Sus scrofa: one gene and its partners. The protein of the gene in region 2 interacts with the protein of the main gene of each other region in a biochemical or structural test. Links are inferred from orthologs where the notes say so. Each region holds a gene or a part of one and is shown on either strand. Other genes may lie near its edges.

What was found.
Region 1: the proteins of RNF14 (region 2) and UBE2E3 form a complex in vitro, tested with the Homo sapiens proteins (2 studies listed by BioGRID). The link is inferred for Sus scrofa from reciprocal best matches to the Homo sapiens genes RNF14 and UBE2E3.
Region 3: the proteins of RNF14 (region 2) and ubiquitin-conjugating enzyme E2 E1 form a complex in vitro, tested with the Homo sapiens proteins (3 studies listed by BioGRID, with this or other methods). The link is inferred for Sus scrofa from reciprocal best matches to the Homo sapiens genes RNF14 and UBE2E1.
Region 4: the proteins of RNF14 (region 2) and UBE2E2 form a complex in vitro, tested with the Homo sapiens proteins (2 studies listed by BioGRID). The link is inferred for Sus scrofa from reciprocal best matches to the Homo sapiens genes RNF14 and UBE2E2.

The regions. Positions count from the first base shown.
Region 1 is NC_010457.5:86,552,140-86,559,924, reverse strand, and holds part of UBE2E3 (ubiquitin-conjugating enzyme E2 E3), read right to left. Parts: intron 3,512-7,785; coding exon 3,379-3,511; intron 541-3,378; coding exon 393-540; intron 1-392. UniProt on the Homo sapiens protein: Accepts ubiquitin from the E1 complex and catalyzes its covalent attachment to other proteins. In vitro catalyzes 'Lys-11'- and 'Lys-48'-, as well as 'Lys-63'-linked polyubiquitination.
Region 2 is NC_010444.4:143,583,272-143,591,056, forward strand, and holds part of RNF14 (E3 ubiquitin-protein ligase RNF14), read left to right. Parts: intron 1-1,616; coding exon 1,617-2,144; intron 2,145-3,001; coding exon 3,002-3,230; intron 3,231-6,545; coding exon 6,546-6,718; intron 6,719-7,785. UniProt on the Homo sapiens protein: E3 ubiquitin-protein ligase that plays a key role in the RNF14-RNF25 translation quality control pathway, a pathway that takes place when a ribosome has stalled during translation, and which promotes ubiquitination and degradation of translation factors on stalled ribosomes.
Region 3 is NC_010455.5:10,679,058-10,686,084, forward strand, and holds the end of ubiquitin-conjugating enzyme E2 E1, read left to right. Parts: intron 1-840; coding exon 841-973; intron 974-2,825; coding exon 2,826-2,973; intron 2,974-3,967; coding exon 3,968-4,065; 3' UTR 4,066-4,762; downstream 4,763-7,027. UniProt on the Homo sapiens protein: Accepts ubiquitin from the E1 complex and catalyzes its covalent attachment to other proteins. Catalyzes the covalent attachment of ISG15 to other proteins. Mediates the selective degradation of short-lived and abnormal proteins.
Region 4 is NC_010455.5:9,994,809-10,003,250, forward strand, and holds the start of UBE2E2 (ubiquitin-conjugating enzyme E2 E2), read left to right. Parts: upstream 1-3,363; 5' UTR 3,364-3,518; intron 3,519-8,442.

The DNA of each region.
Region 1 (7,785 bases), on a different chromosome or scaffold from region 2:
CATCTAATACAACTAACCATAATCCAATAAGGAAGGAAGGAAGAAGAAGCCCTTTATTACTGAATGGCTGCATTAAAGGACACGGCATGGAAGGACCAAGAGGAGGTGGCAGTGGTGTTACAGACTTGCTTTACTCTCATCAAAAGTCTTTTGCACACCACCATAATTTAGAAAATAGAGCCCATCAATAACAGGGAGAAAACAGTTACAGGATAGCACATCATTCACAAACTAAAGAAAGCTACTGTGAAGCTTTTGGTCTATTCTAATTGAAATGGCATTTATAGTTTCCTCAAAAAACGTTTTAGGCTGATCTTTCTACCAACAGCATTTACTTCTCAAATCCACAGTTTTTATAGCCTCATTGTATGTATTAATAAAAGTCTGCTTACCAGGGTTGCAGTCTGTCAAAAGTGAACAAATCGACAGCAAAACTTTTGAAATAGTCAAAGCAGGACTCCAGTTGTCTTTAAGAATGTCCAGGCAGATGACTCCCTGACTGTTGATGTTGCAGTGATAGATTCTGGTGCGGAAAGTAACCTAAGGGCAGTGACATAAAAGAAAGAAAGAAAATAAAAGTTTCATTATAAACCATAACTCTCACTAGCAAAAATGAAGTGGTATATACCATAGATCATGGCAAATAGCAAGTAATTTCACTGAAGAGCTCAAACTAACTAGGTTTAAGTAATAACAAAATTGTTTAGTTCAAAGAATTGTGTTTTTACCCAGTATAGCAAAAACTATATTTGTTTTTAAACCAAAAAGAGTTATTGGTTTGTTTAATTTAAATAAGTGAGATAGTAATTCTATGTCTGTGTGTGGGCATACATACACACACTCCTGTAAAGAAAAGAAGTGAGGGAGAACAGAAACATTTTGGTGCCAAAGTTAAGAGAAAATGGTGAAGAATTCTTTTTTTAACATGAAACCAAGTTACATTAGTTTCTTAATAAAAAAAAAATCATCAACTCAGCTAATTTCTTGCCCTGTGTCAGAAAATACTGGAGAAGGATTTAGAGGAAGGTTGGTGATATCACTGGCTCTTCTATTTCTCAGCCTTTCATTTCCACAAATAGCTCTCTGTCCTGTTAGACTAAGACAATAAAATAAAACAAGTAAGGTCTTAAGACACTGAAGAAAGGAAACTTAAATCCTTGAGAAATGTGAAAAAATAAAATAAATGATGGGAACAAAAATTTCAAAACAATCAACATAAATCGGGTGGTTAATTCTTAATTTGGAGTTGCAAAGAAAAAGAGAGTATCAGATCCCTCTCAACTGGCAATATACTGTGATCTCCCACACGGAGTCTGGGAAGAAAACATTTAAAGCCCTCAAAAGTGTATTTCTGAGAAGAGTGCATAATTAAAAATGGTAAAGAAACCACTGGTCTAGCAGGGAAGGGGGAAAAAGAGATCACACGTTTGCTTTCTGTGGTTTTAGGTTTGGTTTAGCCCCCCAAGGTCAACAGGGATTCAAAAATATTAAAGGCAAAATTCCATAATTAAACAATTTACAAATTTTAAGTTGTACACTGTTTTGAGTAGTGCGAAGAAATCATGCACCGTCCTGGGTGTTCAGCCCAATCCTGTTCAGTCTGCTAAGTTATCAGATCACCTGCTGTGTTACTGAAGGGCTGGTGTTCAAGTAATCTGTACTTTATTTTAAAATGGCCCCAAAGCCAAGAGTAGTGATGCTGGCAATTCAAATCTTCCAAAAAGAAGCTGTAAAGTGCTTGATTTTTAAGTAAAAAGGTGAAAGTTCTCAACTTAAGGGTAGGGGGGAAAAAATCCTACACTGAGGCAGCTAAGGTCTATGGTAAGAATAAGACTTTTATCTGTGAAATTGTGAAAAATGAAAAAGAAATGTGTGCTAGCTTTGCTGTTGTACCTGAAGCTGTAAAAGCTTCAGCCACAAATACTTAGTTACAATGGAAAAGGCATTCAATTTTGTATAAGGTATTTGGAGAGAGGTAACATTCACATAACTTGTACTACCGTATATTGTTATAATTGCTCTACTTCATTATTAGTTATTGTTAATTTCTCACTGCACCTAATGTATAAATTAAACTTTATCATAGGTATTTACGCATAGGAAAAATGGCATTAAATACGGTTCGGTACTATGCGTGGTTTTAGGCATCCACTGGGGTCTCAGAATGTATCCCCAAGAGTAAGGACGACTAGAATTGTTCTAACATAGCACATACTAGTTACACAGAGCTCTTAAAAGGTGGCTATAACAATTAATTTAAGCACTGAATGCAAACTGAATAGTGATATACTGGCATTTAGAATGTGTCATTTGGAATGTGAACACAATTTGCAATAAGACAGTCATTTCAAGATCTTAGATTCTGATGGGACCACATAGTAAAGCACTCAAAAAATAGTGATAGCTATACTTAAGAGCAAATACCTCTTGGTGATAGGGAACCTCGGTGTCTGCAATTTAAGGTAAATACCACTAGGTGGAAATGTTGTTACCTTATTCAATAAAGCAAAACAGAAAAGGTCTGCCTTCTTTTTTAAAACAAAATAAACCCTTTATTTTTACACACAAACACAACACACATGCACCTGAGTGGAGGCATTAAATCACTACATAAATGTTAAATAGTAGAGGGAATATAAGGAACTATGTTGAAAAGAAAAACATTTTATCAAAGTTAAGGGCTTGATAACACTGACATAACAAGGTTCTAATTATGCTCAGGCTTAATATCGGTGGTTTTTAACTGTTGTCTTGACCATTTTATAGGGGGAAGTCAGAGGAGAAAGCTAATCAAATAATTACTATGTTTAATACTTGAAAATTAATTGCCAGTCATCACAAGGCACAGCTCAAACATTCTCTCTTTATCCACCCAGTTCATATTCAGAGACAACAAGGAGGCATAAATAACCCAGCCATCTTCATTCCCATTAATTCATCATTACAGAGGGCACAAAATTAGTTTATTAAATAATATTAGTTCCCTCTTCTTTGCTATAGTTTTCTAGTTTTTTTCTGATCTATAAAGATAGGCTATTCAGCACAAATTTATTTTAATTCTTATTTCCAGAAGCGGTCAGATTTACTTTTTATCTCAATAGGTTCCTTACACAAAGTTCACAGGATTTTTTTCTCTCATAAGTCTAAAATTTACCTGCTTACTGATGTACTAAGTGGCATACAATTAACAAACTCTTGCTGATTACAAAGTTATTTGTGAAAGAAATCAATTACTTCTAGTTTTAACATTCCTGGTTATATGAGCGTTTCCAAATGAAAAACAATCAAATAAAAATAACTGCATCCACACATTTAACTCTAGAATAAATTAATTTTGGAAAAGAATGAACATTAAAAAATGCACTTCCAGGTTCTTACCTTTGGTGGTTTAAATGGATAATCAGATGAAAATGTGATATCCAGAAAAAATACACCACCTTCATATACAGAACCTGGTGGACCAAGTATAGTCGATCTCCATTCATAAATGTTATCTCCTTTAGGCCCAGCACTATTTAAAAGAAATTAAAAATCAATGTGTACATCTGTGAGCAATGAATATTAATATCTTAAACCAATTAAGTATCAAAGGCAAATTAGCAATCTAGAATAAACAGTAAATATATAAAAAATAAGCCCCAACTAACTTGTGCACGCATATGTATATAAACATGTTTGGAAATATTTCTAACTTACAGAAAAGCAAGAACAAGGAACACCTGTTTAACTTTATCCAGACTCTCCTTCTGTTAGCATTGTGCTCCATTTGTTCTATCATCTCCCTCTCTCCCTTCCTTCTCCCCCTCCTAAAATACATACACCCCACCAAACATATACACACACACACACACACAAAGCACACACACCCCACAGACACACAGAAAAAGTGTTTTTTTTCTGAGCCATTTGAGAGTAAGCTGAATATATCATGGCCCTTTCCCCATAAATATTTCAGTGGGCATTTTCTACAACCTATAATACAACTGCAATATAGCCATAATTTCAGTAAAAGTACAATCTATATGATATCTATAATCTGCAAAATAATTTTGTCAACTGACCAATAATGCCCCAAAAGATTTTTAGTTTTCCTTCAGATACATGATTCCAGTCTTGGTATTGATCGTCTATGCCCTTCCTGTGTCTTTAGTCCCCTTTAATAGAGAGAGCCTTTCAGTCTTACTTTGCCTTTTGTAATATCAACATTTTTGAAGAATGCAGTTCTTTTAATGGAATGCTCATCATTGTGAACCTGTCTGATATTTCCTCATGATTAGATGCAGAGAGTGCATTCCTGGCTAGAAGAGTACATAAGTGATGCTATGTTCTCAAGGTGTCACATCCAGAGGTACAATGGTGATGTTAATTTTCATTACCCAGATCAAATGCTGTCCCATTCTCCTACCTCTTACTTGGTATCTTTCCTCTGCAACCAATAAGCAACCTTTGGACACTTTAAGACCATGCAAATACCCTGGTCTTCACCAAATTTATTCCCCGGACTTAACATCAATTTGCGATTCTTGGTTGAACTAAACTTCATCATGATAGTGATAAAATCATCATTTTCCAACTTCAGCATTCCTCCATATTTACCAGCTGGCCCTTGAGCCCTCTCTTTTCCTGTTTGTATAAAAATGTGTTTTACAGATGAAGTTTCATGAGTTCCATTTTTTTTCCCCTAATGATTTAGAATTCTTACTGCATTTAATTATTTTGATGTTCAAACTGCCCCATATTTGGCCAGTGGAAATACTTTCAAAATGACCCCATATCGTTTTTTGGAACACTTCCTTATTTTCTGGCATAAATATGTTCCACGTTCCCACCCCTGAATCAGCCATTTCTTCAAAGAGCTGTGGTTCCTTTTAGTGAATGTTGTTCAAGCTAGTACCAAATTCCAAGTACATTACACTGTGTTCAAAACTATCATTTAATTTATAATATACAATGAGATAATTCAAATTAAATCCAAATTCAGTTGTTTGTAAGACACATCTAATATTCCTTAGACCCTCTTCAAATGTACATTACAGATTTCCATTTTTCCCTCAATTTTACATCACAGATTAACTTGTTTTTCTGAACTACGGTATATATAAAGCTTTTCTTAAGTGACCTATCAGTTTAGAAATGATCTGCATGTTTAGTTTAAAATAAGTGCATATCAGAATTGATAATGCAGGAGTTCCCGTTGTGGCGCAGTGGTTAACGAATCCGACTAGGAACCATGAGGTTGCAGACACGGCTAGGATCCCGCATTGCTGTGGCTCTGGCGTAGGCCGGTGACTACAGCTCCGATTCAACCCCTAGCCTGGGAACCTCCATGTGCCACAGGAGCGGCCCTAGAAAAGGCAAAAAAAGACCAAAAAAAAAAAAAAAAAAAAAAAAGAATTGATAATGCAACTGCATTAATTACAATAGGACATTCAGGTATAGGTTAAATGATTTAACCACATCTTATTAATTCTATAAAACATACACTGTAGACTGTAAAGATCAAGTAAGCAATGCTATCAATAATCAAATCTGTGCCCTGAAAACAGGTCATAGAAAAAGAGTGTAAAAACTTTGATAGTAAAATCAAAATGTTTCAAAAACCTATCTTTAATGCATATATATGAACAAGAAAATTTTACTATCACAGCCTACTTAGGGAAAAGAAACTTGAAAAATACTATTTTATAAATTTTAAGCATATACAGCAACTGGAACTAATTACAACAGTGGTTCATTGTTCTGCCATCATTTGAGAATCAGGTATACTCCCTAAGGGAATCCGCACTGTAACTAAAAACATACAAAATGAAGTGCCAATTTTCTTCAAAAAAAGAAAGTTTAACCTGATTCAATGGCATTTCCTCTTCTAAGTTAATTCTTCCCTGATGATGTAAAGTAATCATTATAAAACTAAATTATAGTTTAAGAGACTTTTATAGCACAACTGCTTTACTAAAAACATTTCTAAACTATATGTGTCACACATTAATAATAATAACAGTAGCTAATAACATTACTCCATAATAAGCCAAACATTTTTCAAAGCATCATAGTGCATATCTCATTTAATTCTCCTTACAAATCTATAAAGTAGGTACTATTATTATATTCCTATTTTTAGATGAGGTAACTAAAGTTCAGAAAGTTAAATAACTCCCCACATGTCCCAAAGCTACAAATGCCTCAGAGAGAATCTGGACAATGTCTGAATAAATCTCTACTAACCTCAGTGACCTTTGCTATATTTATATTTCCTCTTATAATTTCAAGTGCTACTATATGTAATTTAATCTCTAGTCAAATTTTGCAAATACTTACTTGGGTAGGAACCCAAGTAGAGCTACTCTCTAAAGAAATAATTTCCTCAGTGATATTCTTTGGTTCTTAAGCAAAACCATGCTAGGCCTCAGATAGATGGATAGCGATGTGGGGGAATACTATATTTTAATGAATCACAAAATTTCGGCATGAAAAACACGTAGTTGAAGCCAACCACCCCCTTTACAGTTGAAGAAACCAATTCACAAAAAGTGATCCATTTTAAATTCCTTCTGCTAGCTGATGAAGAACTGGGATTCCAAACCAAACTATTGTGTTCTTAAATTTGCTTTCTTCTCATTTATGCTACTTTGCTACAACACACTAAAGATATGGTTATTATAACTGTCCTGGAGTAGACAGAGTAGGGCTGCAGCTTATGGATGTGTTTTAAGCACAATTAGCCTAAGGTGAGTTAGGGCTAAAATCTAGCCCTTGTTAGCTTCTTTGTCTCAAATAAGAGCCCCATATCTTTCTCAGAAAGGTACCACCTGCTAATCAAGACATGAGGGGTGGGGTTAGCACTACTGACTCCACCCTAATTCAAAATACAACATTTTATAGATTAGTAGTTGACCAGCCACTGAGGCTTCACAGCTGAGTAGAAAATGGGTCCTAATTGCTGACAATCTCAAGATAGGTGCTTTTCACTAGTTCTCATGCTGCTATTCAATTTTTTTTTTCACTCATTTTCAATCTCTCTTTTCCAAAAGGACAACACTCCAGTAATTCTGCTCTATCCTGGATCATTTATTTCGCCCTCTCTGGTGAATCATACCCACATGAATAAATACTACAATCCATTTCCCCAATCCTTATTATAAAACAAAAACCTTGATTCCTTTACCCCTTCCAGTTCTCTGCTCAATTACCTTAACAGGTTTTTACACCTCACCACTCCATAGAAACTCCTCTCATCCAAGGTCACCAATGATCTCATCACTAGACCCAATGTTCATTTCTCAATCTTCATCATATCTGACTAGGCCACAGCAACATCTGACACAGCTGGCCACTTCTTTCTCCTTGATATACTTTCTCTGCTTTGTTGCTAGAATAACATACTTACCAGTTTTTCTCCTAAATTTCCTGGCCCCTCTTTCTCAATCAACAATTCTGTTCCTTATCTCTCTAACCTCTAAATACTGCCACTCTTCCAGAGCTCAGCCCTTAAACCTCTCCTTTCTACCTACATCCAGTCTTTTGTTGATCTCCTACAGTGCCAATAAACTCTTAATCCCCAAATCTATCTCCAGCCTAAAATTCCACCCTGAATTCCAGAGCTATATATCTAAATGCTGACTAAACAGTCTTTATTCTGAAATCTAATACTTTGAATCCAGTAATTCTAAAAAGTTTAATATTTCCCAAATTGACTCCCTGATGTTCCAATTTCTCTTTCAAGTTTCCCTACTTCAGTGAATGGCAACTTTCAGTTCCTTAGGGGGAAAGCCTAAACCTCCCCCT
Region 2 (7,785 bases):
ACTCCCCAAAGTCCTTGGCGTTGTAAATTTCACCTGTGGATAGTGAAGTTGAGGCATGGACCTGTCTCTCACTGGGTTCGGTTGGCAGACAGCAGTGGGTTTCGTTTTCTAGTGCTTTTCGTTATTTCTCTTCCAGTATGTGTGCACGACGGTCTCTCTCCTGCTCTTCTCTTTCTGCCTGCCTAGTTCCTCGGGCTTGTGTCGATCCCAGACGCCTCCTTTGAGAAGGGCCCAGAGAGGAAAAGAGGATGCAGGAGAAGGGCTTCTGCATGGGACTCGGTGGCCCGCAGCCCTCACAGCCTCCCTTTGAGTGTTTATTAGAGTTCACAGATTCCAGCAAGTTTCTGGTTGATCGGATAAGCACATTCATGCAAGTGTAGAGAAGCCTTCGCTGTCCGATCCTGAACTAGTCAGTGTGGGTTTAGGCTTGTGCGTGTGTGGGCTTTAGTGACCAGCACGACTTGGCACAGCATGAGGACGAGAGAACGGGCACCTATTTCACTTGGTATTTAAATGTACGCGTTTATTTGCATCTGGAAGGCGTATTTTTTGGATGTTTACCTGAAAAGAAAAGCTGTTTATGACTCCCGAGCTCTCCTTACTGATATTTTACATTCGTAATGGAAGAGCTTCTTATATTTGCTTTTCGAAGTGAACAGACCAGTTTTAAGGGGGAAGTGTTGAAATAATTTCAACTTTGGTTACTGAGGAAACCTGAGCTTTCCCTGGCGCAGCCAGATCGTGTTGAGGGCTTGTAATCAGGCCCAGGTTTGTGGGTCTGCCGTCGCCTGTGAGCCAGGGCTGGGGCAAGCCCGGTTGCTCAGTGAAACTCTGTTTGTCAGTCCGAAGAATGAGGACTCTGAGGTTAGATTCTGTTAGCGATGCTTTCCCGTGAGTTGGCTTCGTCACAGGACTAAAAAAGTTAATTTTAAAACTGGGATGGCATTTTTAAACCCGTATGTTTGCGATCATTATTGCAGGGTATCTACAGGGCCAGGACGCCAGAAGAATAGAAATTGTTCACTTTAGAACTAGATCCCTTTTCCTACATGAAATAGACAGCAATACTTAAAGCGAAGAAAAACAGAACAGAAAAAGTCCTCCAGTTCATTGGCTCAGATGTAAACTGAATTCTGCATCTGGTGGCGTCTTGCCATTTCTCTTGTTTTCATAGTCCTTTATTTACTTACTTGTTTACTTATTTTTGGCTTTTTAGGCCCACACCTGTGGCATATGGAAGTTCCCGGGCTAAGGGGCAAATCAGAGCTGTAGCTGCAACCTACACCGCAGCTCACGGCACCGCCGGATCCTGAACCCACTGAGCGAGGCCAGGGATCGAACCCGCGTCCCCTGACCCACGACGGGAACTCCCCATGGTACTTCTTTTAGCTTCCGGCCTTGTGTTCTCCTGTGCTAATTTGTGTTGCTAACTAGTTTTAAGAAGCGCTCCATTGAGAGCGCTGGTGCGGTTTTGCAGCACAGTTTTATCACAGCAGTAAAAACGTCGTGTTAGGAAGGGGAAAGGCCCAACCTCAAACGGTTTCAGGGGAGGTCAGGAGTTCACATCGTCACCACCATCTTTCCAAGCTCACCAGCGTTCTCGTGTCCTCTCCTAGCTGTCTGCTCTCTGCAAGCACTTAGACAACCTGTGGGAGGAGCACCGCGGCAGCGTGGTCCTGTTTGCCTGGATGCAGTTTCTCAAGGAAGAGACCTTGGCCTACCTGGATATCGTCTCTCCCTTCGAGCTCAGGCTGGGTTCTCAGAAAAAAGTGCAGAGAAGGGCGACTCAGGCCTCTTCCAGCCCCGAGCTAGATTTCGGAGGAGCTGCTGCCTTTGACCTAGACCAAGAGGAAGCTGTGGACGAGAGAGCCGTGCAGGATGTGGAGTCCTTGTCCAGTCTGATCCAGGAGATCTTGGACTTTGATCAAGCTCAGCAGATAAAATGCTTTAACAGTAAATTGTTCCTGTGCAATATCTGTTTCTGTGAGAAGCTGGGGAGCGAATGCATGTACTTCTTGGAGTGCAGGCATGTGTACTGCAAAGCCTGTCTCAAGGACTACTTTGAGATCCAGATCAGAGATGGCCAAGTTCAGTGCCTCAACTGCCCAGAACCCAAGTGCCCTTCAGTGGCCACTCCTGGTCAGGTAACTCTCCTCTGTGCTGCCAGCTGCCCCCTCAGTCTCTGTCACCAAGGGAGACATCCTCTCAGCGCCGTCCTTGGTAGGGCCTGGGGCCAGCCCGTGCTGTTTTTCCCGTGTGTTCCTCAGGCGTGCTGCATCTTCCTTCCCAGCTTACACTACAGCTACAGCTGTAGACGCTGCCTCTGCTGGCTTCGGAATGGGAGGCCCCTGGCAGGGACGAGCATTAAGAAAGCAAAGGCATTTTGGTGATTTGTTTTGTCCATCTGCCAGGTAGGGGCACTACTACCTTGTTTTGTGTGAGTTTGGATCCGAGGGCACGGACAGCCAAATGTTTGCAGACTTAAACGCAACGACAGCCTGCTTGAGAGTTCCCGCTGTGGCCCAGTGGGGTAAAGATCCAGCGGTGTCTCTCTGGGAGCAAGGGTTCAGGCCCTGGCTCAGTGCAGTGAGTTAAGGAGCTGGTGTTGCCACAGCTGTGGAGTAGGTTGAACCTGTAGCTTGGATTCAATCTCTGGCCCAGGACCTTCCATATGCCACCGGTACCGCCAAAAAAAAAAAGAAAAGAAAAAAAATATATGTGTGTATATATATATATATATATATATATATATTTCAGCTTTATTAAGGTGTAAATATACCCATTTAAAGTGTACAGTTTGCTTAGTTTTGACAGATGTGTAGACGCATGTAACCCCCATCTCAGTCAGGATACGGACTTCCCATCCTTGGCTTGATTTTGAGGTGAGATAGAGGGTTTTAATTTACGTGCATCTGGCTTATACCAGCGTCCTAAGGATCTCTTCAGGGTCAGAGCTGGTTGGGACATCATCAGACCTGTGACGTTGAGTGTTTTCCTCCAGGTCAAAGAGCTAGTGGACGCCGAGTTATTCGCCCGCTACGACCGCCTTCTCCTCCAGTCCACCCTGGACCTGATGGCAGACGTGGTGTACTGCCCCCGCCCGTGCTGCCAGCTGCCTGTGATGCAGGAGCCTGGCTGCACAATGGGCATCTGCTCCAGCTGTAATTTCGCCTTCTGTACACTCTGCAGATTGACCTACCATGGGGTCTCTCCGTGTAAGGTGACTGCAGGTGAGCCGTGACTGCGGGCACTCAGTCTCCCAGTGCAAACAGCCTTATCGCTTCAGTCCTTGAGTTTGGAAGTGTCTGTTCAACAGATGGTTTTGTGTCAGCTACTGTCCTAGATTCTGGGGATGGGGTACAGCAGGGACCAAATGCCCTTTGTGGAATTTTCCTTCTCATGGGGGAGATAGGCAGACAAAATAGGCAAGAATATTAGATGGCAGTGAATACTGAAGAGGGAAAAATAAATAAGCCAGGGGCAGGAGGTGAAATGTCCAAAGGGAAAGGGGCTTGGGATTTTATTGAGAAACACCAGCGAGGCCTCGCTGGCAGCGTGGTTTGAGTGAAGGCTTGAAGGAGGTGAGGCGACAGGCCACGTCGGGGGCGCATGCCGGGGACGGAGCGGCCAGGGAGTTTGTGTCTGTGCATATAGAGTACTGTGCGTCCTGGAAGGCAGGCACGGAGCATCTCAGCGGTCCCTGTTTCCACGGTGCACACGTGTGCTCGGCCGTCACGTGCTTTCTCCGTGCGCCCAGGGAGGCCTCGGGATCTTCCCCAACGCAGCGCTTCAGAAGGCCACCCTCTGCGGAGGTGGGCACAGAGAGGGCACCCTGTTAGCCACTTCTGCTCTGGATGAAGATGAAGAGGTCAGGCCCTTGACACCAGTTTAACTCGACTTTGGGGACTTAGCCTTCCTCAGACCAGCAGGGGTGATGGCCATAGCTGCTTCATGAGGTTACTGTGAGGTCGAAGTGACCTGTTGTCGTGCCACTCAGACTTGGTAGGGTTGTTACACTGGCCTGTGACATGACCAGTGCAGAAATTGAGAGTCAGGGTTTGAAACTGTAATGGCGATTTCCCAGAGTAATTTTATGTCGGTCAAATATGATAAAAATTTAGGCTTAGGTTTTTTGTCTCTATACTCTCATTTTTCAAGTTATTCATTTGATTCTGTTTTGCAAAGGTATTGGTCCTTGACATAGTGGCAGGAAAAAACTGGTCCTTCACCATAGTTTGAGAAGGGGCTGATGCATGTCAAACGCAAAATGGTAACTTTTTTTTTTTTTTTTTTTGCTTTTTTGGGGCCGAACCTGAGGCACATGAAGGTTCTCAGGCTAGGGGTCAAATCAGAGCTACAGCCGCCGGCTTACACCACAGCCACAGCAATGTGGGATCCGAGCCACGTCTGCAACCTACACCATAGCTCACGGCAATGCCGGATCCTTAACCCACTGAGCAAGGCCAGGAATTGAACCTGCAACCTCATGGTCCCTAGTCGGATTCATTTCCACTGCGCCACGACGGGAACTCCCAAAGTGGCAACTATTCATGTCGGTGTTGCTGTAGTCACCAGTTATTAGCAGTGTCATTATCTCCCAGAGAGTCCCCGGAAGGGAAATGAGTGAATACGGTACTTGCAGGTGCTTGGAGCAGAGCCTCAGGGTTACGGGCAGAGGGGCTGGAGAGCTCAGCGGCGTGAAATAGAAGCCTGGGCTTCGCTTCTGTAGCCTCGTCCCTGAGGGGCTGCAGTGCAGTTCGGGGGTTTAACAGTGCTCGGGGGGTGGGGGAGACCCCAGATAGCGGCGGGGCTCTGGCGCAGTTAGAGATCTCCTTTTCCGGCTCTGTGTGTTAGATGTTACCGCAGAAGATGTGTGATGTACTACTTGTTTTATTCTTTGAGAGCATCACGGTGATACCTTTTGTCCTTGAGACGTCTAGGACCACAAAAACGCTTTGAATGAGTGGAGGGGCTCAAAAATGGCAGGATAAAAACATTCGTGTCTCCTGCATCTGCGTCGCAGTGATAGAGCCTGGGAATGAAGCCACCGAGAAAGGCTTCTCAGCCGAAGGAAAAGTGCAGGTAGCACCTGCCCCAGAGGATGTTTGCTGCATGAAAAGGGAGACGGGCCTCTAAACTGTATGGAGAAAGCAAACTAATAAATAACTTAGCTAGAACATTCTTGAGAGAGGTCTTTAAGTCATTGTGTTGAGCCATTAAGGTAATAGAATTGTGAGCAAAAGCTTTTGTCTGCCAGTGAGGCTTGGGGAAAGGCTGCCTGTTGGGTTGGAGGTAAGTGCTGAAGCGGTGGGAACCCGACTGAAGGGTATTGAGGGGCCAGCTTGACAGGAGGACCTTTGCAGTGCCTGTGGGTGGTGCGTTTTCTTCACCGGCTGTTTTAATATAAAGTCGTCCGCAGCTGGTCTTTGCCCTTGAGCCAAAGGTGCTGGTGCTGGCCTTGGGAGGCCTTGTTATTATCAAGTGGTGCCTGTTTCAACCTTTGTGTCATTCACATAAGTTAATCTTTGACTGTGTACCGCTAGTTGCACACACATAGCAACATTAATAACTCACAATCTCAGGGAAAAGATTATTATTCTGTCACCCTTATTACCAAGTCCAGGTTTTCTGCTTGGAAGATTCCTCTCTGTTCTCTGTCATTTGTGCATGGGTGATTTTTATCTAGTTGCAACCTAAATAGGTTTTTCTCCTGGATTCCTTAATGAGTATCTTGTTTTGTTTTATTTTATTTTGTTTTATTTTTGTCTTTTTCTAGGGCTGCGCCTGCGGCATATGGAAGTGCCCAGGCTAGGGGTCTAATCGGAGTTGTAGCCGCCAGCCTATGCCAGAGCCACAGCAGCGTCAGACCCAAGCCTCATCTTTGACCTACACCCCAGTTCACAGCAACGCTGATCCTTAACCCACTGAGTGAGGCCAGGGATCAAACCTGCAACCTCATGGTTCTTAGTTGAATTCGTTAACCACTGAGCCGCGACGGGCACTCGGGAATATTTTATTTATTTGTTTTTAGGGCCGCACCTGCAGCATATGGAGATTCCCAGGCTAGGGGTCAAATTGGAGCTGCAGTTGCCTGTCTACGCCACAGCCACAGCAACACCAGATCCAAGCCGTGTCTGCCAGCTACACTGCGGCTCACGGCAGTGCCGGCCGGATCCCTAACCCACTGAGCAGGGCCAGGGATTGAACCTGCCCTTTCCCGGATACTAGTTGGGTTCGTTTCCTCTGAGCCACAATGGGAACTCCTGTAACTAGTATTTTGAGTTATAATCATCCTAATTATAAGTTTTAATAACGAAATATTTTGTCATTAAGTAGTTTCCTCACGCATAATGATTCCCTAGACACTTAATTTGTTTGCCGTTGTTACATGCACCCCTGTGCCTCTGACTTGACTTTGGGTCACTTCCTTATGATAAAGTCCCAGGTTAGCATTGCTGAGTGGTCCAAGGTCATGGCCGTCTTTAATGGCTTTTAATCTGCATTACAAAGTTGTATAAAAGTTAATTTTCCATTTCACTTTCTAGAAAAATTAATAGACTTACGAAATGAGTACCTGCAAGCAGATGAGACCAATAAAAGGTTTTTGGAGCAGAGGTATGGTAAGCGGGTGATTCAGAAGGCCCTGGAAGAGATGGAGAGCAAGGAGTGGCTAGAAAAGAACTCCAAGAGCTGCCCGTGCTGCGGGACTCCCATAGAGGTACGGTCTGGGGGGCAGACTTGGAGGCAGAGCTCCTTGCCAGGCTGTTACGATTCCCTCGCGAAGTCTTTGGACTTAGTTTTATGACTAATGAAGACGACACATGTTGGGTGTTTGTTAAGCCTCCTTACCTGGCGGATGCAGATTTGTTACTCAGGGTCGTTATTGACCTTACCTGTGTGTGGACGTCCCTGTGCAAAGTGCTTTCACACGGCGGCAGGGGTGCTCGCATTAAATCCACTTCAAAATCAAGTGGGTTGTGAGGAGCCACACTAGAGCTGCAGCCAACTCTGAATTCATCTGTGCGATTTAAAAAAAAAAAAAAAATCAGGAGTTCCCGTTGTGGCGCAGTGGTTCACCTATCCGACTAGGAACCATGAGGTTGTGGGTTCAGTCCCTGGCCTTGCTCAGTGGGTTAAGGATCCGGCATGGCTGTGAGCTGTAGTGTGGGTCGGATCCCGCGTTGCTGTGGCTCTGGCGAAGGCCGGCGGCTACAGCTCTGATTCGACCCCTCGCCTGGGAACCTCCATATGCCGCAGGAGCAGCCCTAGAAAAGGCAAAAAGACCAAAAAAAAAAAATTAATTAAAAAAAAAAAATCAAGCCTCATTTCTCAGAACTATTTATCCTGGATTTAGCATACATGTTTAACAAGTACCTGCTTAGGAAAGAGCGACATCTTGAGTCAAAATAGACAGATACATCTATTGCTTCTTAGTAAAACCCAAATGTCTTTTGCGTTTAATTCTCCTGCTCCAAGCCGTTATATGTGAGCTGATCCTGATGGTCAGTTACTCCATTAAGGAAACTGGCCTTCTGTTTAACCACTTCTGACACACCTCAGCTCTGTGATAGCGTGGGGAACTTGGTACCAAATGCTCATTTAGATTTACGTAAAAAGTTTAAAATCCTACATCCTAAATGCAGACATTTTAATGTTAATGTAACTCCATTTCACTTATACATGTTTGGTTTGTATCTTCTGTTTATCAGAAGAGATTCTGCGAAGTCTCTAGTTGTAGAGACACCTGCTGTGTATTTTCTGTATTTCACCTGTAATGCAAAGGAA
Region 3 (7,027 bases), on a different chromosome or scaffold from region 2:
TAGAGAACCTAAGATATGCTGAAATGAGGAGTTCCTGTTGTGGCTCAGGGGTTAAAAACCTGACATAGTGTCTGTGAGGATGCGGGTTTGATCCCTGGCCTCACTCAGTGGGTTGAGGATCTGGCATTGGCTGTAAGCTGTGGCGTAGGTTGCAGGCGCGGCTCGGATCTGGCTTTGTTGTGGCTGTGGGGTAGGCCAGCAGCTGCAGCTCTGATTTAACCTCTAGCCTGGGAACTTCCATAAGCTGCAGGTGTGGCCCTAAAAAGAAACATATATGATATATATGTTGATATGAAACCTGTCACTTGTCATCCTTCTTCTTCCCCCACCCAACATGGTTTATACAGTAAAGAGAACTGCAATCTCTTGGACTCCTTTTAGGGTAAGATCACAGAGAAACAACAAGGGAGAACCCCAGTCAGTGGGTCAGAGATGAAGCTTTGGTGCTTAATGTGGTCATCAGAAGTAATATAGCTGTGAGGAAAATTTTGTTGCTAACTTACTATAATTCTGTGTGCTGAGAGGTGCTTCTCTTTTTTTTTTAGGTATTTGTTTGCATTTTATTATATCAAGGCAAGGGTTTGAAAATTTAGGGGTTTCTTGCTTCTTCACAGCTACGTAGTCTGTGGTTTTTGCCTTCTTTTAACACATCTTTGATCTGAGGCTGATGGGTTGTTAGAGTCCTGCATCAGGGTGTGTCTGAAAGATAACTTCTGTTTTTTGGAGAGAATCCACACATTAAACAAAAAGGGAGAGGCAAACTTTTCCTCTTTGGGGGATAACACTGTAAAAATTGGGATGTGCCACCACCTGCTCATCTTCTGATATATTATTTCACAGTGCTGGCCCCAAAGGCGATAACATCTATGAATGGAGATCAACCATTCTAGGGCCTCCAGGGTCCGTGTATGAGGGTGGTGTATTCTTCCTTGATATCACTTTTACACCAGAGTATCCCTTCAAGCCTCCAAAGGTAAGAAATTCCCCATGATTTATGCTAAAATTTACATATTCCCATGAAAGATAATTGAAGCTTTTAAAATTGTTTTTAATCACAAAAAAGTAGAATTCTGTTATCTCTCTCATTCATTCATTCATTTATTTACTTATTTTTGTTGTTTTAGGGCTGCATTTGCAGCAAATGGAGGTTCCCAGGCTAGGGGTCTAATTGGAGCTGCAGCTGCCAGCCTACGCCACTGTCACAGCAACGCCAGATCCAAGCTGTGTCTGCAACTTACACCACAGGTCACGGCAATGCTGGATCCTTAACCTACTGAGCAAGGGCAGGGATTACACTGGCATCCTCATGGATTTTAGTTGGGTTCATTACCCATGAGCCACGACAGGAACTCCCAAGTTCTCTTATCTCTTGACAAATCTCTAAATACATTTGAACATACACAAAACGCTTCTTTGGGTTGACTTTGCCTCATTTGGCAGAGACCATTAAGACTAAGTGCTTTGTTTAAAATCCTGCTCATAGTCAGCAACCCACAAATAATCCCCTTTCCTTTGCAAAGACATTTTTTGAACAGATGAAAATGTTGTCAGAATATCCATGCACTAAAATAGAGAATCAGAAACTCCTGGCAGACAAAGCCTTGGATTCTGTTCCTCATCATTTTCCTGTCTCATGAAATCCTTACCCAGCTTTGAGTTTCTCATCTAGGTTAGGAGGGGACTGCTCCAGTCACTCTTCTGCAGCACACTGTGATTCTCACAGTCAGAAGGAAAACCTCCTCTTGGGGATAGGGTACCCCTGAATAAAGGTGCAGTGGCAGCTGCAAGAAGTGATTAAAAGTCTGCCATTTTTTAAAAAGTGGTAATGTTTTAGGTTACTTTTACTTTGGAATGATTCAGTGTATCACAAATAACAGTTGGAAGACCATACGAAATAACCCAGGCTCATGTGCCTTTATGTTGATTTGCCCATTGCTGTCTGTGGTCCTTACCATTTCTGGTTCCTCACCTGTGGAGATGCCAGTAGAGTGAATTCTGTGCTTTGAGTCAGGCAAGATAGCTGCATGGTCTGATTTAAAGGTGAGAAAAAGAAGAAACACCTCTTCAAGTGGATATTTCAGCTTTTAGGGTATGTGATCATTGTTTGCTAAGCACTTTGTCTTTATGGACCCACTGGTTGTTCTTCTTTTGGATTATGACTTTAAAGCTTGCTTTGGAGCCATGTAGTACTACCAGCTAACACTAGAGGTCAGCAAACAATTAGCTATTCAAACTGGAAGCATTAGGAAGATATTTAAAACATTAAAACCGCTAAAGATGAAATCCAGAAATACTGAAGTTACCTTGCCTTTTGTTGATGGATATTATTTTTAAATGAAATTGAAAATCCCTGAGAGTGTTATCAATGCACACTTGGTAATCTCAATTTTAATAGTCTCTGTTGTGGCTCAGCAGAAACAAACCCTGCTAGTATCCATAAGGATGCAGGTTCAATCTCTGGCCTTGCTTTAGTGGGCCAGGGATCCGGCATTGCCTCGAGCTGTAGCTCTCAAGACATGGCTCAGATCCCACGTTGCTGTGGCTGTGGTGTAGGCAGTGGCCACAGCTCTGATTCAACCCCTAGCCTGAGAACTTCCATATGCCACGCAGGTGCAGCCCTAAAAAGAAAAAAAAGGAAAAAAGTCTCTAACTTGTTTCTTATCAGCCTTAATTAGTTAAACTGTTAACTGTGTTTACTTTTTTAAAAATTAAGCGTGTATTTCTTTAGAAGTTTTAATCAGGGCAATTTAAACTGAAAAGGTAATTTAGTAAAAAGTTACGTTGCTGGCTGTTTAAATTTTATTTAACAGTGCCTTATATTTTAGGTTACATTTCGGACAAGAATCTATCACTGTAATATTAACAGTCAAGGAGTTATTTGCTTGGACATATTGAAAGATAATTGGAGCCCAGCCCTCACCATCTCTAAAGTTCTTCTTTCTATCTGCTCACTTCTTACAGACTGTAATCCTGGTAAGGTTAATAATTCTTTACCTTATTTTACTCCTCCTCAAGAAAAAGTTCAGATTTTATTTTTGTACAAGCTTTCAAAGGACAAAACCTGGTTGGTTTTCAAAGGAATGTGTAATCCAGAGTTCAGTCTAAGCTGAGGACTTAATATAAGACCTATAATGTTAGGTTTTAACATTTTCAGTCTTTCACTCTCCTCCCCCCTCTTTTGCCTGTTTCCCAAAGAGTTCTCTTAAAACAACCGCATACTTGGAAATGTTGAGTTACCTGCCCCAGTAGCCTCACCACTGCCTGTGAGTCGATAGCTGCTCACTAAAGTGGCGGTCAGTTCTGAGATTTTTTCTCTGCTATAAACTTAGACAGTGGGAGGTGGGGGCGGGGGGCAGAGTGGCAGGGAGGCTTAATTTCCTCTTACTAAAACTTTTTCCCCTAGATAAACCAAATATAAATTATTAAAATTCTGTTGAGTTTCAGAGAAATACTAAACTTAGTGAAAGTTTGGCCCTTTCTAGGCAAATAGCATAGAGGTAACTAGTGTTGTATTGCAATAGCCTTGAGGACATCGCAGTATTCAGTGTCATAATTGATGCCATTCGCAAAAGGTCACGTGAATACAGCTGATGTTCACCGTAGTCTAGGGCCTCGAACATTCCGTACCCTAACATGTAAGAGCAAAACCCTCCAGTGTGGGGGTGCGGGTTGGGGAATCATTGTTGGACACGAAATGGAGTGAGGAAGGAGATGAACCCAGACCAGTGCTGAAGCGTGTACACTCTGTTTGGATTAGGATAGCCCCCTGCACACATGCTGGGCTTTTTTGTGTGCTTTTTTCTCCCCACATGCTGGTTTTTAAAGTCTAGAAGGAAAACTATCCAGAATGGAGTGGTTTGATCACAACTGCTTTTACATTTCTTCCCGAGCATGTCGCTAACTTATTTGCTAAAACTTAAAGTGTTCTTGCTCTTTCTTCAAAGTAATCTACATTCTTTTCTTCCAGCCGACCCCTTGGTGGGAAGTATTGCCACTCAGTATATGACCAACAGAGCAGAACATGACAGAATGGCCAGACAGTGGACCAAGAGATACGCTACATAAATTGGGTTTTCACAATTCTTTACATTATTTGTCTGTCACAGAGAGCTGCTTATGATTTTGAAGGGGTGGGGGAGGGTGGGAGTTGGTAAAGAGTAGGGTATTTCTATAACAGATATTATTCAGTTTTATTTCCTAAGATTTTGTTGTAACTTAAGGTATCTTGCTACAGTAGACAGAATTGGTAATAGCAACTTTTAAAACTGTCATTAGTTCTGCAATATTAGCTGAAATGCAATACAGAGAATAGATATTTGGGTTCAGTTGCTTGTAGTCTGTAAATTTAAAAACAGCTTAATTTTTTACAGGTTACACACACAGGGCCATTTATGTAAAGTCCTTCAAGACTACACACGTTTTTGTTTAAAAAAAATTGGAATCTGTTTTCCCTTCTTGTAAGGGAACGTTGATATTTAACAGCTTTTAGAGACTGTCATCTCATATATAGAAAATGGACGTGTAACTCTAAGACACCACGTAGGAAATGAGTAGTTATATATTTTATTTTATATGCCAATCTACTTTATTGTGAAAAGGTAGAGGTTTGAATCAGGACCTGTAAAACCTGTAGTAAAATACCTTAAGCTGTTAACTGTAAGGCGTGGACTAGGAGTTGCCCAGTGGATTGGTTATATGTTGTGGACTACTTAAGTCTGCATTTGTTACTGTGCTAATAAACAATATTAAAACGACCACCTAACACTGTCTTCTTTTACTTTCTATTTCTTACTTTGTACTTTCTTTTTCTTTTTTTTTTTTTTTTTTTTTTTTTTTTTGCTTTTTATGGCCACATCTGCAACACATGGAAGTTACCAGGTTAGGGGTCAAATCAGAGCTATAGCGCCATCCTGCACCACAGCCACAGCAAGGCCAGATCCAAGCTGCATCTTCAACCTACCGCAGCTCACTGCAATGCCGGATCCTTAACCCACTGAGCAAGGCCAGGGATGGAACCTGCATCCTCATGGATACTAGTCGGGTCCGTTATCACTGCACCACAACGGGAACTCCTGTAGTTTTTCTTCTTGATAGGTCTTTGCTACTAAAGCAATAGAGAGGTAATGCAGACTGAATACTCTGGTACTGTTTATCCAGCACCTGTGTTAGGATTGGTACTCTTAGTTTATCCAGTAGCCCTGCAGGGTAGATTTTGAGGTGTCTTAGAAGAAGTTTAATAATCTAACTCACTGTCTTTCAAGACAGAGTTCTATTGCATCTTTTTAAAAGCATTTTCCAGTGTGCAGATGCTGTGGTGGTAGTACACAGGAAGTGAGTTCTCTTGGAGAAGTACTACAGCCCCATCAGAGGGCATTCAGGCAGTAGCTCCATGTATATGCCTGTCCACTCACCCCAGGCCAGTGTGAGGGTGCATACACATTCACTGAGCATTTAAAAAGAATATGGGAGGAGTTGCCGTCATGGTGCAGCAGAAACGAATCCGACCAGGAACCGTGAGGTTGCAGGTTAGATCCCTGGCCTTGCTCAGTGGGTTAAGGATCTGGCCATGAGGTGAGCTGTGGTGTAGGTCACAGACGTGACTCGGGTCTGGCCTTGCTGTGGCTGTGGTGTAGGCTGGCAGCTTGTAGCTCTGATGAGACTCCTACCTGGGAACCTCCATATGATGCCGGTGCAGCCCTAAAAAGCAAAAAAATAGAATATGGGCATTCCCGTCGTGGCTCAGTGGAAATGAATCTGACTAGCATCTGTGAGGACACAACTTCGATCCCTGGCCTCACTCACTGGGTTAAGGACCCAGTGTTCCATGAGCTGTGGTGTAGGTTGAAGACCTGGCTCAGATCTGGCGTTGCTGTCGCTGTGGTGTAGGTCACAGATGTGGCTTGGATCTGGTGTTGCTGTGACTGGTGGCTACAGCTCCAATTTGACCCCTAGCCTGGAAACCTCCATATGCTTCAGGTGGGGCCCTAAAATTAATTAATAAAAAGAATATGGTCTAGGCTGCATTCAGTAGAGGAGCAGACTGCAAGATCTAGTCTATTATTTTTATAATTGTAAAACTATCCATGTTAAAAACCTAAAAGATAAATACTCAGTAACTGGGTGAAAGCAGGGGATGACTTAACCATATCTTCTGAGTGACTTTTTTTTTTTTTAACTAAAAAATGTACCTGTGATGAGAAATTTTATTTTGTGGTCACACCCTCGGCATGGGGATGTTCTTAGGCCAGGGATCAAACCCAAGCCACTGCAGTAACACCACCAGATCCTTAACCAGCTGAGCCACAAGAGAAACAAATTTTAAATTACTATAAATCAACTAGTACTGCCACTATGTAAGTTTTATATCTTTTATATGCAAGTGGTTCTTGGCTTGAACTCACTGAACTGAGCCAATTGAGTTTAAATTTACTGAACCTTGCCATAAAAAGTATTTGAGATACTACTATTTACCAGATTTTTTTTAACCTTTCTTGGTGGGACAGTTTATCTCATATTTTATATTTAAAACCAATAGTTAACTGCTTCCACAGTTGAAACTGCTAAGTAGCTTGCATCCTACTTTTAAAATTAGTTAAAACATTATCAACCTGCTAAATACAGTTAGCCCATTACTCAAATCCTGCCAAAATCTTCAGAGAACCGTAGCACAAACTCAGATATCTAACCTGAAAATTTTTCCAGGAGTTCTCTGTGGTACAGCAGGTTAAGGATCCAGTGTTGTCACTGCTACAGTGCAAGTTCGATCACTGGCCCAGGAATTTGCACATGCTTCAGACACAGGCAGGAAAAAAAATCTTCCAGAAGGTGTTAGTATGTCTTGTGGAAAATGGATGCTTAACTGTCCTTAAGTGTTTAGTGGGTTCCTAAAAGAAACCTACTACTCAATTCATGCTACATGTAATTTGAACAAAGCTGAATTGTTTATCAAGATCTCTACCAGATACAATTTAGCTTAACTTAGTGTCCACATTGTTTACTGTTCATGATCTATGTCAATATATAATCC
Region 4 (8,442 bases), on a different chromosome or scaffold from region 2:
TCTCCCTGCCCTTTGTGGTCCTCATTTGTCCAGTGGGGTTGACTGAGTGAAACCAACCTGATGGGGTGTTTGTGTGCTCAAATACATACAGTGCCAGAATTTTTCCTGGAACAAATTAAGAACATGTTAATGGCTATTTGATTACTGAAGAAATTAGAATAATGACGCCAGGAATGAAAGAGGTCAACTTCATTCACTCAACTAGTATTTACTAAATAGATACAACAATGACCTGCAGTCGATGAAATCTTTCTTCCCAAAGTGTTATATGTGTAGGGGAGGACGAAGAAGCAGGAGCAGAGGAGAAGGGGAAGACTAAAATAAATAAGTAAAAAATATATTCTTTCAGATTTATTTGGATGATAATGAAGAAAAATAAAGCAGAAAAGAGAAATAAGAGGTGCTGGGGGAGGGTAGAATGTTCTAGAGATAGGAAACTGTAGGTTCAATGTCTTGAGGATGAGAAAGGCTGGGTGTGTTCCATGTGAGCAAGAAAGCCACTGTGGTTGGAAGGAGAAAAGGGTGGGGTAAGGTCGTGCAACATGAGGTCAGAGGGGTCCTGGCTGGGGGTGACAGGCAGATCATGTAGGGCCATGTGGCCACTGTAAGATCTTTAGCTGTTACTCTAGGGTAGGAAGCCCCCCTTTTTTTTGTTTTTTTTTTTGGTCTTTTTGCCATTTCTTGGGTCGCTCCCTCGGCACATGGAGGTTCCCAGGCTAGGAGTCTAATCGGAGCTGTAGCCACCGGCCTACACCAGAGGCATAGCAACGTGGGATCCAAGTCGCATCTGCAACCTACACCACAGCTCATGGCAGCGCCAGATCCTTAACCCAGTGAGCAAGGCCAGGGATTGAACCCGCAACCTCATGATTCCTAGTCGGATTTGTTAACCACTGTGCCACGATGGGAACTCCAGGAAGCCCCTAAAGTTTTGAACAGAGGAGAGACCTATATTAACCCATGTTTTAAAGGATCACTTAGACTGTTGTTTGCAGGGAAGGAATTGGGATGTGTGGGGAAGGGAAAGGGGAAGTAGAAAGATCAGGTAAGAGGCTATTCTTGAATGATGATGGTGGCTTGGAACAGGGTAATAGCTGTGGGGAGGGAGATGGGAAGAAGTGGATACTTTTAGGACATATTTTCAAAGGCAAAGTCAAGAGAATTTCCTGAGGAGTTAGATATAGTGTGTAAAACAAGGAGTCAAGGATCGAAAACTCTGTGAGGACAGGGATTTTTCTCTTTTATTCAATGTAGTATTCCAAATACCTAGGACAGTGCCTGGTACTCAATAAATATTCCTTGAATCAATGAAAAAGGTAACTCTTTTTAAAAAAATTTTTTTGTTAGGGCCGCAGGTGTGACATACAGAAGTTCCCAGTCTAGGGGTTGAACCAGAGCTGCAGCTGCAGGACTATGCCACAGCCATAGCAACATCAGATCCGAGCCGCATCTGCAACCTACACCACAGCTCATGGCAATGCCGGATCCTTAACCCACTTAGCGAGGCCAGGGATTGAACCAGCAACCTCATGGTCCCTAGTTGGATTTGTTTCCACTGCGCCACGATGGGAACTCCGTCTTCTACTCCTTTTATAAAGTTTAAAGTTGTCCTTGCTCCATCTCTGGCCCTGCAGCTGCCAATGATCAGGACTGAAAAAGGCAACTTGGATACTTTCTGCATAGAAGAGTACTTTACTATAAAACATGCCCTATGAACAAACAGAAACCAACAGGATATATACCCAAGAGTACACAGAAGAGTAATTAATTTGGAGAAAAGCATAGAGACCTGGGAAATGGGGATTCTGCCGTCTATCCTCACCAGACAGTTGCAAAGCATACTGAAACACAATCAAGAATATGAGATTACTAGAGTTCCCTTGGGGAGTAGTGGGTTAAGGATCCTGCATTATCACTGCAGCGGCTTAGGTTGCTGCTGTGGTGTGGGTTCAGTCCCCGGCCTAGGAACTTCTGCATGCTGTGGGTGCCGCCAGGAAAAAATAAAGAAAATGAGAATATTAATAACCAAAAATAACATGGGGTAAAATAAATACATACACATTTAAGTCAGTCTATGAAATGTTTTATTTTGGTCACATTCTAAATATTTAAAAATCTGATGCATTTTATGTCATCTTTTCCTATTGCACTGTGTGAGAGATATAGGTGGCTATACAATTGATGATAGGCCCAGGATATGGTAATTACTAATCCTCCAATACATAGTTTAGAGTTTAAGGGTAACAGGGCCTGCTGATGTCCTTGAGTGATACATAGAGTTGATATCTAAGAACACACCCACGTTTTGCTCAATGGTGACTTGTGGAGGCTAGGAGCAATTTTCGAGGATGCTGTAAAGTAATAGTCAATTCTTTAAAGACGGTATTTGAAAAAGGATGTCCAGCTCTAGACATATGTATGCATCTTGACTTTCTCCTGTCTCCTGGGGCCTTATGGATGCTTGAGTTGCTCTGGACCTGGCTGTCATCAACAACCTGACGAGGCCGTCATCAGCCCTGCAGGGCAGGACATTTTGTCCACATACAGTGACAGATCCAGGGTCTTTGTATAGACGTTTAGGAGCAGGTGGAGGTGGGGGAAATTTTGTGGAAGCTGAATTTGCATAGGAGACATAGGTTATTTGGGGTTAAGATTATAGGGGAACCTAACATTTCCTCGAGTCACCCGCAGCACTGCTCCTGTTCCCATACCCTTCAACGGGGACCTAACAGCAGCATCCCACTTGCTCTGAGAGTGCTACTCCCCCACCCACTTGCTCCCCTCAGTATCCCAGGGCAGAACGGCCTGGAGATCTTTGCTCTCACATTCTGGGCCCCAGGGAGTCCAAGGCAGAAGTTGTCCATCCTGGCCGCAAGTGGACTCCACGCCTTTGGCAACAGAGTTAGTCCTTAGCCACTTCGAGAAGCTTTGAAGGTAGTGCGAAGCCAGGGCCGCAGCGGCCGGGGATAAAACCCAGCCCCTGCTTCTCCTTGGAGCAAATCCCAGCCCCCCCCGCCCCACCCCCAGCCAGCATTTCCCTTTAACGCGCGTGCCCATCAAGGTCCCCGCGTCCCTCCCTCCAGTCGGCCCCGCAGCCTGTTTCCCTCGTCTCTCTGGGTCCCGGCTGCACCTTCTCCGTGGGACGCCCCTCGCCCGCCGCCGCTCGCGGGACTCGGCTGTCACTTCACTTTTCTGCACCGCCTCCCGGCTCCCCTGCCCGGCCGCGGGGGTACCCGCCGTGCGCGCTCCCGCCCCCTCGCGGCCGCGCGCGCGAGGAGGAGGGGCGGAGAGGCGCGCGGCGCGGCGGGCCGACGTGGGGCTCGCGCTCTCGCGGTCTCTCCGGGCGGGCACGCGGGCACGCGCAGTCACGGGCGCGCGCGCGGACGGCCGGGCGGCGGCAGCTCCCGGAGGCGGTGGCTTCACTTTCCTGGACTCAGGGGCGACCACAGCAACAGCCGCGGGCAGCAGCCTCGGGACCCGGAGCTGGAACGGCCGGGGCGGCGGCGGCGGCGCCGAGGGTGAGTCCAGGCGGGCACGGGCGCGGCGCGGACAGGCGTGGCCGTGCGGTGCGCTGTGCGTGGGTCTGGGTTCGGTGACTGGACGGTCCGCGGGGACAGCCCGTCCCCGGGGCCTCCTCGGCGCCCCTTCCCCCGCTCCTCCGCAGCCCCCTCTTCCCTGGCTGGGTCTCGAGCCCGCGACCTGCGCGGACGCCCCTCCCTCAGGTACTCGCCGGGCCGCGCCGGGCCCCCGCCCCGGCCCCCGCTCCACTCGGCGCCGCAGGGCTCTGCCGACGTCGCTCGCGCCCCGCTTCCCTTCCCCCGAGCCCAGTCCCCGCGCCCCCTCCCGCGAGCCTCCTGCCCCTGTTTCTCGCCCTTTCCACCCCTCCCCCTCCTCCCCATCCACCTCCCTCTGCCTCTTCCCTCCCTGCCCATCTTCTACCCCCTTCCGTTCTCAGTTCCCCATCCCTCGCCACCCTCCTGGCCCCTTCTCTCTCCCAGCCGCATCCTGGAACTAAGTCTTAGCAAAAGTACAGGATAAATGTCACGGTGCAAAGTGCCCGGCTTGATCTTTTGCTATTTTCCCTAATTGCATAATTGCTGCACATGGTGCCTCTCGGCGAGTGCCGGGTCCGGTTCCCTCGCGCCGCCGCACCCCCGTGGCTCGCCTGGAGACCTTGCGGGGTGTGTTTGTGTCTGCCCTGGTGTGGAGTGTGTGTTGTCTGGGTCTTTTGTGAAGCCCAGCGCTTGTCACAGTTTGGAACCCAAGCCCATTTTTCTCCGATCTTTTCTCTGCAGCCCCCGCTGGCCTGGTTCGAAACTGGCTCCCCCTTCCCCTCGACCCTATCATCTCCCCCTCCTCCCTCTCTCCTCTCTTAATGTTTTGATCCTTTTGCCCTTTACCATTTCTAATGAAGATAAAGCGTAGCTTCTTGTGGCTTTTTTTTTTTTCCCACGACCAACCAGAAATGTCCAATCCATCTTCCCTTAAGGAAATTAAGGCCGCTTTAGAAAGACCTCATCCTGTGCTCGGTGGCTGTTACACCGATTTGCATGTTTTCAAGATTCATCTTTTTGAATTGTTTATTCTTGAGAGTCCACTAAAATATTTTAAAGTTCAAAAGGAAATGCTAGGATTTACCTTAAGAGTATCTAGTCTTTCAGAAAGATATTTAAGTTCTGCTTAGTTTTTTAAAATCCCCAATTCTTAAAAAAGTATGTACCTGAATATGCGGTAGTTCTGTCTGGGCCTTCGAAATCTAAATATTTGTGTTTTCTCACCTTGGATGCTCCTTGGCTCTTTAGAGTTTTGTATGTGGGCTGATGCTGATGAGGGAGGGTTTTCATATAATGTCACACCCCATTATTGAAAGGTGCACCCCTCCCCCAGGACATATAGCACTTTTTTCTCAAAACTTGAGTGTTCCATAATTATTTCGTGCATAAATATCTTTGCAAGTAAGTACAAGCTGGATATTGCTAGGTATCTGTGTAACCTAAATTGTTTTATTTTACGTTTTAGGAAAGTTTAGAAACATGAGTGGGAAGACAAATAGCAAGAAATCAGATGACAGAGTTAAACGATTTCCTGTTGTAAAAGCTCAAATGAACACTTGCTTTTGCAGTTTTATATCATGAGGTACATTATAAGGCTTATCTGGATAGTAATCCGGATTTATGGAGTGACAAGTTGTTTTTATGTTTTCAGTAATATTATTAACTAAATCAGTTCAGTTTTATGGAACAGTGGGAGCTTCATTTCATATGTTACTAATTTCCAAGACTGTAATTACAACATAGAGTACATAGCTAATACATGTTTAGGTAATTTTTGTGTTGAAGAATGGACCATATCTAAACTCTTAATTTAACACGTATTTGAGTGAGGTCTATTTTACTATTTTATGTTTAGAAAGCAAGTTTTACTCTGAGTACAAAGTAAAAATATAAATTTCAGTATGTTAATATCTTTGAAATTGTCATGGAAGCTTAGGTTTATAACTGTGGGGTTCAAGTTTATCTTCCCTCTAGATTAGATAATTGAATCAAATTAGCTATTTAGGAATTAATCTTAAAAGATAAAATTAAAGTGCTGATTTAGAAGATAAGAGTTTTATTTCAAAGCTTTTATTCATTTGTAATTTAAAGAGAACACCTTGTAAGTACACAGTCTTATAACTAATTAAATGCTTATAGACTGTTTTTCTTCATAAAATTAGTTGTCACCTAAGTAATGTAATACTTTTTCCCCATGCTTTTCCTGTAATCAGGCATTCAAAAAACAAAACCAATAGAAATTCCCCTTACTCTTGATATTTGAAAAAGATATGAGAACTTTGTTTCTAAAAGTTTTTATAGCGGTTACTAGTGGCCCCAGGGGAATTTATCATCTGTAGGTTTGGATGAAATAAGGTATCTTAGGTCAAAAGTGGAAATAATATTTTTTTCTTTATTGTGAAACTGTAGAAATTATACATCTATTTGGGTATTTTTAATAGTTCTCTAGTGAACTATTTATTCTTTAGACTTCTGATATTCTGGAGCAGTTTATAAAATTTAGATTTCAGATTATGGCTCAGCTTATATCCCTGAGTAGTCTTTTAAGTAATTTTATATACTCATGGCATTATTAGATATTGTGTAAATACACATAAATAAGAGTATTAAGAAGAATGTGTGTAGCTTTGTAACTAATGTAATATACAACTGAAATTCTAGGCATAGTTTATTAAACTGAAGCTGGAGCTTCAGTAAAAAGAATTTTATTTCCTTTAGGTTTCTGTATATTTGTCACATAATGGATTGCTTCTGTTTTAAGATATATAAAATGATTTATCACTCATTTCACATTTCTCAAAATATTGCTAGCAGTATTTTGCTGTATCTGAGGGCCTTTCCCTGAGAATAAGAGCTAACATGCTCTTATATACATATTTAGAGGGTTTTAAGTTCTGATATATTTTAACTGAGAGAAGTAAGCTGAAAAAAATTACTAAATCCAAGAATGAGAGTTTAAATGAAATAGAAATAGAAAAAAACAAGGATTATATTAAGATTGTTGAGCTACATGTGAAACATACTGATATAAAATTTCAGTATTCTGTGAGGTGACTTCAGTGCTTGTAAAAGATGCCACAGCTCTGGAGACTCATGCTCTCCATTTACTGCATAGGTGGGAAAGCAGTCACTTTTCCCCACATGTTTCAGAGCTGCTTTGGGCAGACTTATTTTTGTTTGGCAAGAGGGTGGGGGAGGGGACTGTTGGGGGTTGGTGGAGTGTTTGTGTGATATCTTATTGAAGGCATTCAGTATTTTCTATTCACTCTTCACTCCTCTGTGCTTACCATGCCTTCAGTTCTCTTGCAGTGCTTTTTGGTTTGTCTTAACCATAAAAATTTCAATCCCATGACGGTTTGTATTATGAAATAACTGGTTTAGAGCAAGCTGCAAGTTAAATTTTTGGTGATGATGAATTTTAATCATTGTCAGCTAGCTATACATTTGGACTAATTATAATAATTAAAAACAGTGCTTTATTTGAGGTATCTTTCTTTTTCATATTAATTCTTATTTTAGATCTATCAAATACAGTTTTATTTCAGGTCTTGATTTTTTTTTTTTTGCTTTTCTAGGGCCGCACCAGAGGCATATGGAAGTTCTAGGCTGGGGGTTGGTTGAATCAGAGCTGCAGCTGCTGGCCTACACCACAGCCACAGCAACTCTGGATCCGAGCCTCATTTTTGACCTACATCATGACTCAGAGCAACGCCAAATCCTTAACCCACTGAGCGAGGCCAGGGATCTAACCACTTCCTCATGGATCCTGGTCAGGTTTGTTACCACTGAGCCACGATGGGAACTCCTCAGGCCTTAATTTGATTAAGAGTAATATAATATCTTTTTCAAAAGGAATTTTTCCCATTTATATATGATTTTTAAAGGTATATTTTGTGTTGTTAATGTCACCTCTTTTTTTTTTGTCTTTATAGGTCCACACCCACGGCATATGGAGGTTCCCAGGCTAGGGGTCTAATCGGAGCTGTAGCTGCCAGCCTACGCCACAGCCACAGCAACACCAGATCTGAACTGCATCTGCGACCTACACCATAGCTCATGGCAATGCTGGATCCCTGACCCACTGATCGAGGCCAGGGATCAAACCCACAACCTCATGGTTCATTTCCGCTGTGCCACGATGGGAACTCCTAATGTCACTTCTTAAAGGTAGTTTTGTTTTTCAGAGAAGGCATTTGTACCATCTCAAGTGGTTATGGGGTAACAAGCTGGGCATTGGTTTTGTCAGTTTGGCTTTGGATTTGTCAGTACATGCTAAGCTAGTCAGGTCATAGAGATATATTTATAGTGATCAAACTCAGAAATTGATGATGATAGAATGACAGTTGAGAAGAGAGGAGTGGAATGTTGGGGCATGTTGTCTAGGTTATAGCAGCTGCCTGTGTATCAAGGTATTGAGAAAATTGAATTGGTAGTTAGAGTTGCTTGCAGAACATGAACTCAGAGCAAATTTGAAAGCCTTGAGGGATATTTCATCCAGATTGTGGGTGGGGGAACGAAAGCATCCTTCATTGTCTCCATACAGTCTTCACCTCCTGTGAAAATGGTTGCTTGGTATATTGCCGGATCAGTGCAGGTGCCTTTGTAAGGTTCAGTTTTTATTTAGAATCATGGAGACATCTGTGTTTTTCTATTACCACAAAGGTTACTTAAAGCAATTGATTGGTTTAGAGGATTTTATCCTTAGCCTAGTCTGGAGGATGTATCTGTGTAATGTTTCAAAATAATGCAAAAGGCTCCTTCATTTCTCTGTTCCTGTGACTGTTTTTACTAACCTCAGCTCCAGCATTTGCAAGCTGGATTACCCACTAGGTCAGATCTCTTGTGCTTGTGGGACCAAAGGGCCTAGCATAGTGCTTGATGGAGAGCA